Cricetulus griseus: one gene and its partners. The protein of the gene in region 1 interacts with the protein of each later gene in a pairwise test. Links are inferred from orthologs where the notes say so. Each region holds a gene or a part of one and is shown in the gene's direction. Other genes may lie near its edges. The genes, in order: Pias4, Smad7 and Htt.

Region 1 (3,651 bases):
GGCCCTTACATGGGTCACACCTTGGTCTTCCACACTGTGCTTTTGACCCCACAGGCTTTTGGTCGCTGCCTCTGTCCTTAAGGGTGCACCTCTAATGCCCAGCCCTTATGGCATCTCTACGATAGCTCCCTTCCAAAACTGCATGATGTTTTTGTGTGTGCCATGTTTTGAGGCAGAGTCTCAGGTGGCCCAGGCAGGCCCAATTTGTTATGTAGCCAAGACTGGCCTTGAACCTCTCTGATCTACCTGTTTCGACCTCCTCAGTATTTGGCTGACAGGTCTGTGTCCCTGTACCTGGCATCACCCTTGCTCTCTGATACCCAGTTGAGGTCACTGATTTGGAGCAGGCCAGCAGCAAAGGTGGGCGGACAGCCCTTGCTCTATTCCTGCCCACTCCAGTGGCACAGGCTACATCCCCACCCAGTCCCACAGTGGAGCTCAGTGGTACCCTGTGCTTGGTGCTGGTCTCCATGCTGCCCCAACTCAGCAGCCTACATGGCTGGTCAGGGTGCTGCAGGGAACTGGAGTTTATGGCCACTGTGATATATGCAAGCTCACTGTGTTGTCCTATGACAGCTCCCCTGAAGCATGCTTGGCCCCCACCATTTGCCTTGGCCCTCCTAGTGCAACCAGCTAGGCCTGAGTTAAACAACAATCACTATAACCCTGGTGAAGCTGCCTGAGAATAAGACATTGACACAGTGTTTCTTTGGTGTTGAGGGGTACCAGGTTCTGGGTCGCCTTGTGTCTCTACTGGGTCACCAATGCCTACCTCCAGTCCTAGAGTGTACAAGGCTAAGAGGGGCCACGTGAAGGGTCTGGATGTTGTTGTCTTCCATGGCCTTGAGTGCCCTGTCCTGGTTCCTACCTGCCCTATTGGGTCTTCGTGATCACCTGGTGTCTGCCCCACCTCAGGTATGCTGAGGGTGGTGGCTGTGGGTTCCTCAGCACCTGTGCTTGTGCTGTTCAGTCCATGGTGTGGAGCTGTCCACAGCCCATGCTGCAGTGGCCCAGAGAAAGTGAAAGTGGTAGGCAGGGGGCGCAGGGCTGCTGTGTGTGTAGCCCAGGCTGGCCTTGAGCTCACAACCAGTTCTGCTGTTTTTGTTTTGGTTTGTTTTTTCCAGAGAGGGTTTCTCTGTGTAGTCCTGGCTTTCCTGGCACTCACTCTGTAGACCAGGCTGGCCTAGAATTCAACAGAGATCCTCCTGTCTCTGCCTCCCCAGTGCTGGGATTAAAGGTGTAGTTTTATCAGGTTCTCAGGAGGATCCAGGCCAGCTGAGTTATAAAGTGGGGAGAAATGGGTGGGCAGGGTACAGAGGCCCTAAGACAAAGGTAGGCCTGGTTTGTGAGGTTTTAAGAAGAGTTCAATCCCCAATTGGTGCTGCTGAAGAGACTACACTCAGTATTTCAGATGGGTATTGCTCTAGGGTCTGGCTGTTGGACAGGGGGCAGACAGCCATGGCACAGTTACTGGCTTGGAGAATACCCTGTGGTTCATTAGAGCAGCATAGCGTGGGACAAACCTAAGTTGGCTGCTAGAGTGTGGGGCCTGTCCCCCACACCACAGAAGCCTCCCAGGAGGGCAGATGGGTCCCTTACCTCCTGCCTAGCCTCTGCCAGCTCAGGTGTCTGCCATGGCACTGCTGGTCCCTCCCCACTCTCCCTCAGGTGGTTACTCCAGGCTAGACAGATCTGAGTGTGCCCAGGGGTCCCTGAGCTCCAGCTCCTCCCTCAGGCCCTGCAGCTACACAGCAGCAGTCACCCAAGGACCCATGGGCTCTCTACAGGATCCTGGGCTGGACAGGTGTGACTGTCCCCTCATCCAAGCTACTCCACCTCCCAGCTCCGGAACCTGCCTACACTCACTGTGACTGGTACCACAGCCTGTGGTTCAGAAGGTTCCAGGCCAGTCTCACCCAGCATCAGCGCCTCTTGTAAACAGTGTTGTAGGAACTGGGCTGCCAGGGTCCTTCCTCAGCTGGGAGTGCCTGTATCCAGATAGGGAATACCATCTGACAGGGACAGTGGTTGGTCCTGAAGTGCTGGGTAGAACTCAGCCCTACTCCCCACAGCTGTGCCCTTTTGCCTCAGACTGGTCTGGACCTGAGGCTGGGTTTGAATCCAAGACCCTTCTGCTTCAGTCTCTGACATGCTAGGGTGGCTGGTGTGCACTCCCTCAGAGGAGGCTGTGTCATATGTCCAAATGGGCTAGAGCCCTTTGCTGAGGGAGGAACGGGACCTCGTGCACACTGGGCCAGCAGTCTGCCGTGGAGCCATGCTGACTGACGAGACTGCAGATGACGTGATGGCCTGAGGATACAGGCAGCTACCTTTTAGCCTTTGGAACACCCAGCTCCAAAGGGACCCAGAGTGGAAGGTGTGGGGCCAGTGTGTATCCCCTGAATCCTAGGCAGAGGGCTGGCCTCTTGCCCTGTGACTGTGACATGCAGCAGGCGGCCTGACCCATGCGTGTTCAGTCCCACAGAGCACGGAGAAGCTACAGGAGAGCCCATGCATCTTCGCGCTGACACCGAGGCAGGTGGAAATGATCCGCAACTCCAGGTGTGTCCACCACGAACAACTCCCACTATCGTGTGCCCACCTTTGCTGGGACCACATATCATCTGGACCAGGCAGGACAGTGTGAGGCCCCACAGCCTCGTGAGCATGGCTTTCCCTCACCCACCCACTCCATGCTAGCCAGGAGCTCCCCAGCTACATGCACCTGCAGATGTCACCAGGGTCCCATGGGCAAGATGGGTAAGGGTGAACCAGTGAGGGTGCTTAGTGAAGCTCTGACCCTTTGGATGTCCTGGCCTTACAGTCCTGACCATCTCTGCGCCATTTGTCAGGACAGAGGTCAGGCTGGGGTGTGGCCAGACCCTCTCTCTGCACGCCTCCTTCCTACCCTTTCGATGGACAGATTCTTCCTGGAGTGGGTCAGGAGCACTGCTCTCCTGTGTCCATTGGTGATCCTGGGGAGGGCTCTCTGGGTGGTCTGCACTGCCTGCTGACTGCTGCCTTGTGCCCCGCCCACAGAGAGCTGCAGCCTGGAGTGAAAGCCGTGCAGGTGGTGCTGAGGTAGGCGAACAGCGCCCCGCCCTGCCTCTCCTGTGGCAGGCCATTGCTCTGCACACACAACCCCATGCCATCCACCCTGTACCTCCACCACCTGTCATCTTTGTTGGGGCTTTCTCTTTCTTCTGCTGCTTGTCTTCATAGCCCCCCCCCCATGTCCCCATGTCCCTGTGTGCCCCCACAGTCCTGTGTCTCACTGTCTCCCCAGGATCTGTTACTCTGACACCAGCTGCCCACAGGAGGATCAGTACCCACCCAACATTGCTGTGAAGGTTAACCACAGCTACTGCTCAGTGCCGGGCTACTACCCTTCCAACAAGCCTGGTGTGGAACCCAAGAGGCCCTGCAGACCCATCAACCTCACCCATCTCATGTACCTTTCCTCCGCCACCAACCGCATCACTGTCACCTGGGGCAACTATGGCAAGGTAAGCACCCTGCGCCCAGCCCCCATCATTCCACATGTCCCTCCCCCCTGGCCACCCTGCACCTAGTACCCACCATCCCACGTCCACCCTGCATTCAGTACCCTGATGCTGCAGCTGCTCTGTCCACAGAGCTACTCCGTGGCAT
Region 2 (2,798 bases), on another chromosome or scaffold:
AAGGAGGGCATGGCAGTAAGCCCCATGCTTAAAGGTTAATTAAGATGTCTTTCCCCCATTAGCATCATCGACTCTACCTGGAGTCCTGGCTTACCCTTACTCCCTCTTTTTGTTTTGTGCTGGCTATGGGGACTCAAGAGCAAGTGTATATGTATGTCTTTTGATTTCAGGAGGGAAAAGAACCTGGTCACCACCGCCAACTGTCTGCCATTTTGTTTTGTAGATTCCCAACTTCTTCTGGAACCTGGGGATCGGTCACACTGGTGCGTGGTGGCATACTGGGAGGAGAAGACGAGAGTGGGGAGGCTCTACTGTGTCCAAGAGCCCTCCCTGGATATCTTCTATGATCTACCTCAGGGGAATGGCTTTTGCCTCGGACAGCTCAATTCGGACAACAAGAGTCAGCTGGTACAGAAAGTACGGAGTAAGATTGGCTGTGGCATCCAGCTGACGAGGGAAGTGGATGGCGTGTGGGTGTACAACCGTAGCAGTTACCCCATCTTCATCAAGTCCGCCACACTGGACAACCCGGACTCCAGGACGCTGTTGGTGCATAAGGTGTTCCCTGGTTTCTCCATCAAGGCTTTCGACTATGAGAAAGCATACAGCCTGCAGCGGCCCAATGACCATGAGTTCATGCAGCAGCCATGGACGGGCTTCACCGTGCAGATTAGCTTCGTGAAGGGCTGGGGCCAGTGCTACACCCGCCAGTTCATCAGCAGCTGCCCGTGCTGGCTGGAGGTCATCTTCAACAGCCGGTAGTTGTGTGGGGAGAAGAGGACAGGACGGAGCGTGAGCCGAGCAGGCCACCATTCAAACTACTTGCTGCTAACCTTTCCCTCCCGAGTGCTTGCTTTTCATGCAAACTCTTTGGTCGGTTTCGTTGTTACCATTGTTGGTGTTGTTTTTTGTTTTTGTTTTATTTTTGTTTTTCCTTCTCGTTGTCCTTGTTTGTGTTTTGTCTTGTTCTTTGAGAAATAGCTTGTGATGAATTAGTTTGTTTTGGTTTTTTTTATTTTTTTATTTTTTTGAGGTGGTGGGTGTGGTCGACAGGACACCCCGACATGAAAATGGGAAGCAAAAGTCAGCACTGCCAAATATGGTATATGAAAGTGGGTACTGCCTTCCCTTCGGATCGGCATTGTCAGGAGTGGATGTTCGGTCGTGTAGGGTTGTGCATGAACGGCAGATGGGGAGATGCTTTTTGTGTTCCTTATGAATGTCCCCAGCTGAGAGTCTGCAGTTTCAAGCTGTTTGTCTCTCGAGCCCTTTGGACATGCTCAGTGGGGCAGAGGCAGTACCTGGGCAGACTGGCAGCAGGTGTTCCAGCAGCTGCCAAACTTTGCCCCAGCCTGCCGAAGCCCCTGCCCTGCCTCCCCCCTTTTAGGACACGGGCCTATCCACAGGCTTCTGAGAAGCCAGCCTGCTAGAGGCTGAACCAGAACCAATTGTTTTCATCCCTGTCTTACTGCCTCCTGTCACCCCGCTGCCATTGTCATGTCTGTCTTTTTTGGCCATCTGCTCCTGGATCTCTTTCTTGAGATGGGCTTCCTAAGGGCTGCAGGGACAGCCCAGTCACAGTATTGCTAACCCAGGACCCTCGGGCCCTTCAGCCGGTCCCCCTGCTGTGGTTTTTCATCAGGTTTCTCCCAGATGTGGAGAGTCAGCTCAGCACCCCATCCCCAGCCTGTATGTTGAGCTCTATAGACCAGGGAGGGGCATCCCTGGGAGGGAACTGCTCAGTGGCCCCCTTCCCAACAAGAAGGGTGTGGCCTGTCATAGCGAAGGTACCATCCTAGGCTGACTCCCAGCTCTTCTCTCAACTCATACACTCGTATGATACTTTGACACTGTTCTTAGCTCAATGAGCATGTTTAGACTTTAACATAAGCTATTTTTCTAACTACAAAGGTTTAAATGAACAAGAGAAGCCTTCTCATTGGAAATTTAGCATTGTAGTGCTTTGAGAGAGAAAGGACTCCTTAAAAAAAGCTGAGATTTATTAAAGAAAAATGTATTTTATGTTATATATAAATATATTATTACTTGTAAATATAAAGACGTTTTATAAGCATCATTATTTATGTATTGTGCAATGTGTATAAACAAAAATAAAGAAAAGATGCACTTTGCTTTAATATAAATGCAAATAACATGCCAAATTAAAAAAGATAAACACAAGATTGGTGTTCTTTTCTATGGGTGTTATCACCTGGCTGAATGTTTTTCTAAAGGAGTTTATGTTCCATTAAACAATTTTTAAAATGTATACTTCATCCCATGTTGTTTAGCTGCTTTTTCTTTTCCTTGGAGGGAGGCTGGGAAGTTTACCAGTGGAGACAACGGCGAATGGGCCTGGGATCTGGAGACCACCTGCCTTATGGGTACCCTTTTGTTTGGTGTGGCTGCAGGTTTCCTCATGGTGCATTGGGAAATGACGGGAGGGAGTCCTCTGCTGAGTGTTTGGAAGTTGGTGGGTTGAGGAGAAAGGGTGTGTCACTGGGAAGATGGGGTTGGTGGCAGAAGAGCAGGTACATCCTCAAGAACCAGGTTCCCTTGGCTCATGCTAATTCTACACTGAGCTAGAGCATCTTTCTCAGTAGAAGGGACTTTGCCAAAATGAATTCCAAGACATTTCCTGGGGATTGGAGCCCCAGGAAGTGATAGAGAATAACTGCCCCACAGTGATCAGAGGGATGAAGTCCCCACCTCCTTCCCTCTCAAGTGATGACTGAATCCAAGCTTCACTTAAGGCTGTCTGCTAGGATCTTCATGATTGATAGGTTCTCAGCCCTGTG
Region 3 (3,751 bases), on another chromosome or scaffold:
TGTAACCTAACAACAGTGTGACATCCCATTAACTTCGCCTTGTATTGGTTAGAAGTCAGAAGTCAGCTGCCCATACTTAGACAGTGCTAAGAGGCAGGGCTCATTGGGCCTTCCATGTCTGCCTACTAGCAACTACCAGCTGTTAGAACTTGCCTCATGTGGGAGCTGGCACTGGCTTTATGCAGCGGACAGTGGCATTAGTAACTGGAGGGACATGGAATTCTAAAGACTTTCTCTGCTGTCCTCAGTTTAACAGGGGTTGGCTGCTTATACCTCCCATGGGTAGTGTTGGCTCCTGTGTACTTGGCCATTTTGAGAAGATGGAGGAGTTTCTCATGGCCATGGAATAGGGCTCTTGAGTCTTAGGGGTAGCCTGAAGAGCTTAAATGGGTTCCTAACTAAATGCATCACCTCCAGTCAGATCTCTCTGAAGCCAACACCTTTTGCTGGACAGGCTGAAGGAGCTGGGTGTATCCATACTATTCTAAGCTTCCTGTTTAATTGCTCACCAGTGGGAGATGGAGATTCTGGAGACAAGGACCTCAGCTCTGGTGGCGATGAGGCCCCTTGTAGGTTCTGGCTGATGACCAGAGCAGTGCCATGGTCCAGCACTGTGAAGTTGAAGTGTCCGATCAGAGTTGCACTAACCCCAGCCTCTCTTTGGGCTGCAGGCACTGCTACTTGTTTGGAACCCTTTATCAGCTTCCTCCACAGCACATCGTCTGGTGCCGCCTTTTTTTTTTTTTTTTTTTTTTTTTTTTTTTTTATAGGCTTTCATGTCTGAGCTAACCAGTGCTTCAGGGGTCCACGGATCACAAGGGTTCTTTGGTCCTGCATAAAGGTCACTCTGGTTCCCTTCTCATTTCAGGGAGCCCTTAGCATACTGCATTCGGGACTGTATAGCAGGCCATCTGTCAGCTTGCGGACAATGAGTGCCTCTCTGGGTTTCGGGTTCTGAGCACCACCACCGCCATGGGTGGCTTTCTGCAGGGAAATTTCTTTGCTGCCCTTCCCCTTTCCAACCTCTTAGTCTTCCATGTCTCCCCAAACCCTACTGAGTTGCCAACTCCTCCGCCCGCCTCTTTTTTCTGTCCTGTAACTCCTAATCTAGTGCTCGGCCACTCCCCTCAAACCCACTCTTGGTTCAGCTCCGCCCCTCATCTAGCAACCCGCCCCGCCTACCTCATCACGCTCTCTCCCCGCTCCCTCCAATCAGAGGCTTGGTTTGCCGGAGAGGGGCGGGGTCATATCGTAGGGGCGGAGATTCTTAGCAAGTTGGCAGAGGCCCGGCATGCTTACAACCAGGCATTGGGAAAAATGACGCTTCGGCCTGTCAAATCTGCGGATCCGGCGTGGCCTCTCTTCCGTCGGCATGACGTCACAGGACGCAGGCGCCGCGGGGGTTGCCGGGACGGGCCCAAGATGGCTGGGCGCTTTGGTTCCGCTTCTGCCCGCCGCGCAGATCCCCATTCATTTCCCCGCTGCTAAGTGGCGCCGCTGAGGGCGACTAGGCTCCAAGCCTTCGGGGTCTGTCCCGCCGGGCAGGAGGCCGTCATGGCAACCCTGGAAAAGCTGATGAAGGCTTTCGAGTCGCTCAAGTCGTTTCAGCAGCAGCAGCAGCAACAGCAGCAGCAGCAGCAGCAGCAGCAACAGCAACAGCAGCAGCAGCAGCAGCCGCCACCACCACCACCGCCGCCGCCTCAGCCCCCTCAGCCGCCGCCTCAGGGTCAGGCGCCACCGCTTGCACCGCCCCCACCGCCGCTGCCCGGTCCGGCCGAGGAGCCGCTGCACCGACCGTGAGTCCGGGCGCCGCAGCTCCTGCCCTGGGCCGCTCCCCTGGCCTGCGTGCTGGAGACAGCCAGCGCGATTCCCTGCCCAGAGAGAGGGTCGCCAGTCCTCTTCCTGGCCCGGGTCCTCGCCTTGTGGGGGTCTTTAGCTTTCCTCACTGGAGGCAGAGCCTGGTCAGGCCTGCGGCGGACTCGCCGAGGGGCGTCTCGCCCCCAGTGCTTTCGCCCTTCTTAGCTTGTGAAGTTAGGGAGCGAACTTGTTTCTGTCTTCGGGAGAAACTGGGGCTGTGGCTCACATGACTCCAAGAGAACTTGGAGAGGGCGAGACCTGTCTCCCGGGTCGCCTCCTTAGGTAGGCCTAGATGCTGGGAGCGCAGGACAGCGCGAGTGATGTGCGGATAGTGGATGACATAATGCTTTTAGGAGGCCTCAGCGGGAGTGCTGAGGGTGGGGGAATGTGAACCATCCAAATTGGATATTCTTTTTCCAAGTGACACTTGAAGCAGCCTGTGACTTCAGGCGCTTTATATTCTCCTGGTGTTTCGTTTAGTTCATGTTACAGTGTAGTAACAAGGTTTTAAGCATCACTGGAGAGGTATGTTTCTGTATGCTCCTATTGGCCTGCAGGTAATTGGATGAACTGTGGTTGTCAAGTACATGATGAGTTACTTAGGTGTGATTATTAATAAAAATTATATGTCTCTGTGTCATATATATATATATGTGTGTGTGTGTGTGTGTGTGTGTGTGTGTGTGTGTATGTATGTATGTCGATTGATATTTATTGCCTATATTTTCTGCTGGAAATAAAATGGACATGTTGGTGATGCGCAGTTTACATCAGGGAATGATTTTTATCAGTGTTACAGTCAGACTTGTTTTTAGAACATGGGCCACTCTGTGTGCCAGTGAAAAAAATTCCTATTTAATTCTTTGCTGACATCTTGTCATCCTTCAGAAGCTTGCTGCATGTGACTGGTGAGAATATTTGAAACAGAAGAGAGACCATGAATAACAATAGTCTTAAAAAAGAAAATGATGATCAAGACATTTCCTGGAAGTCCACGATGAGTGTTCAGCCCTGTACTTTCTTGCAGTTCAGGCCTTTCAACTGGACATTTTATTTCTAATGTGGATTTCTATAATTAATAAGGAGAACTTTCAGGAAACAACCTACTGAAGAATCCCATTATTAATCCTCATTTAGGAAAAAAATTGTTTTGTTGCTGGGAATTTAGCTTAAGGCCTCACACATGCTGGGCAAGTGCTTTACCACTGAGCTATATTCCCAGCCTATTTTTAGTAATTTTTCTTGTTCTTGTGCTTCTGATAGGATCCTTTTTGCTGCCCTGGGAATCTAGTTTTTTGTTGTTGTTTTTTTTTAAATGAAGATTTGGGGAAAAATGTTGGCTTATTTGATAGAATAAAATATAGGAATAAATTTTTCTTCTATAAGGTCAAAGAGGGTTTGAGTAGAAAAATCTTTCCCTTTAGATAAGTAATATATTTTGAGACAGTCTCACTGTGTAACTCTGGCTGACCTGGAACTCACAGATATCTATCCTCCTGCCCCTGTCTCTTCAGTGCTGGGATTAAAGGCATGTGCCACCATGCCTGGCTGTATAAGTATTTTCTAATTATTAGATTCTTAACACGACTCTGTCTCTCTGGGTGTTAGGAATTGTGCAAGTTCACATATTCCTCATATCTTCTGTAAGGGAGGGTTGGGGCGGGGTGGGGTAGGGTGATTTCTCTCCAGCTGCTTCAAGCACAAATTCAATCTGTTTTTGCATAAGTAATTCATTAACATGGTCCAGTTCCAAAGTTAGGAAAGGTTAAATAGTAAAACATCTCCCTCCCCATTCTCCTGAGTGCCTAACTCTGTCCGCAGTAGCAAGCACTGTTACTCATTATGTGTCCTTTCAGATAAAATCTGGGCATATGTTAGGACAGATTTTTAAATT

What was found.
Region 2: the proteins of Pias4 (region 1) and Smad7 interact in a two-hybrid assay, tested with the Homo sapiens proteins (2 studies listed by BioGRID and IntAct). The link is inferred for Cricetulus griseus from reciprocal best matches to the Homo sapiens genes PIAS4 and SMAD7.
Region 3: the proteins of Pias4 (region 1) and Htt interact in binary tests that used the Homo sapiens proteins (3 or more experiments, as listed by UniProt). The link is inferred for Cricetulus griseus from reciprocal best matches to the Homo sapiens genes PIAS4 and HTT.

The regions. Positions count from the first base shown.
Region 1 is NC_048598.1:101,936,539-101,940,189, reverse strand, and holds part of Pias4 (E3 SUMO-protein ligase PIAS4), read left to right. Parts: intron 1-2,477; coding exon 2,478-2,562; intron 2,563-3,039; coding exon 3,040-3,081; intron 3,082-3,286; coding exon 3,287-3,506; intron 3,507-3,635; coding exon 3,636-3,651.
Region 2 is NC_048595.1:164,538,840-164,541,637, reverse strand, and holds the end of Smad7 (mothers against decapentaplegic homolog 7), read left to right. Parts: intron 1-223; coding exon 224-762; 3' UTR 763-2,276; downstream 2,277-2,798. UniProt on the Homo sapiens protein: Antagonist of signaling by TGF-beta (transforming growth factor) type 1 receptor superfamily members; has been shown to inhibit TGF-beta (Transforming growth factor) and activin signaling by associating with their receptors thus preventing SMAD2 access.
Region 3 is NW_023276807.1:103,746,627-103,750,377, forward strand, and holds the start of Htt (huntingtin), read left to right. Parts: upstream 1-1,554; coding exon 1,555-1,796; intron 1,797-3,751.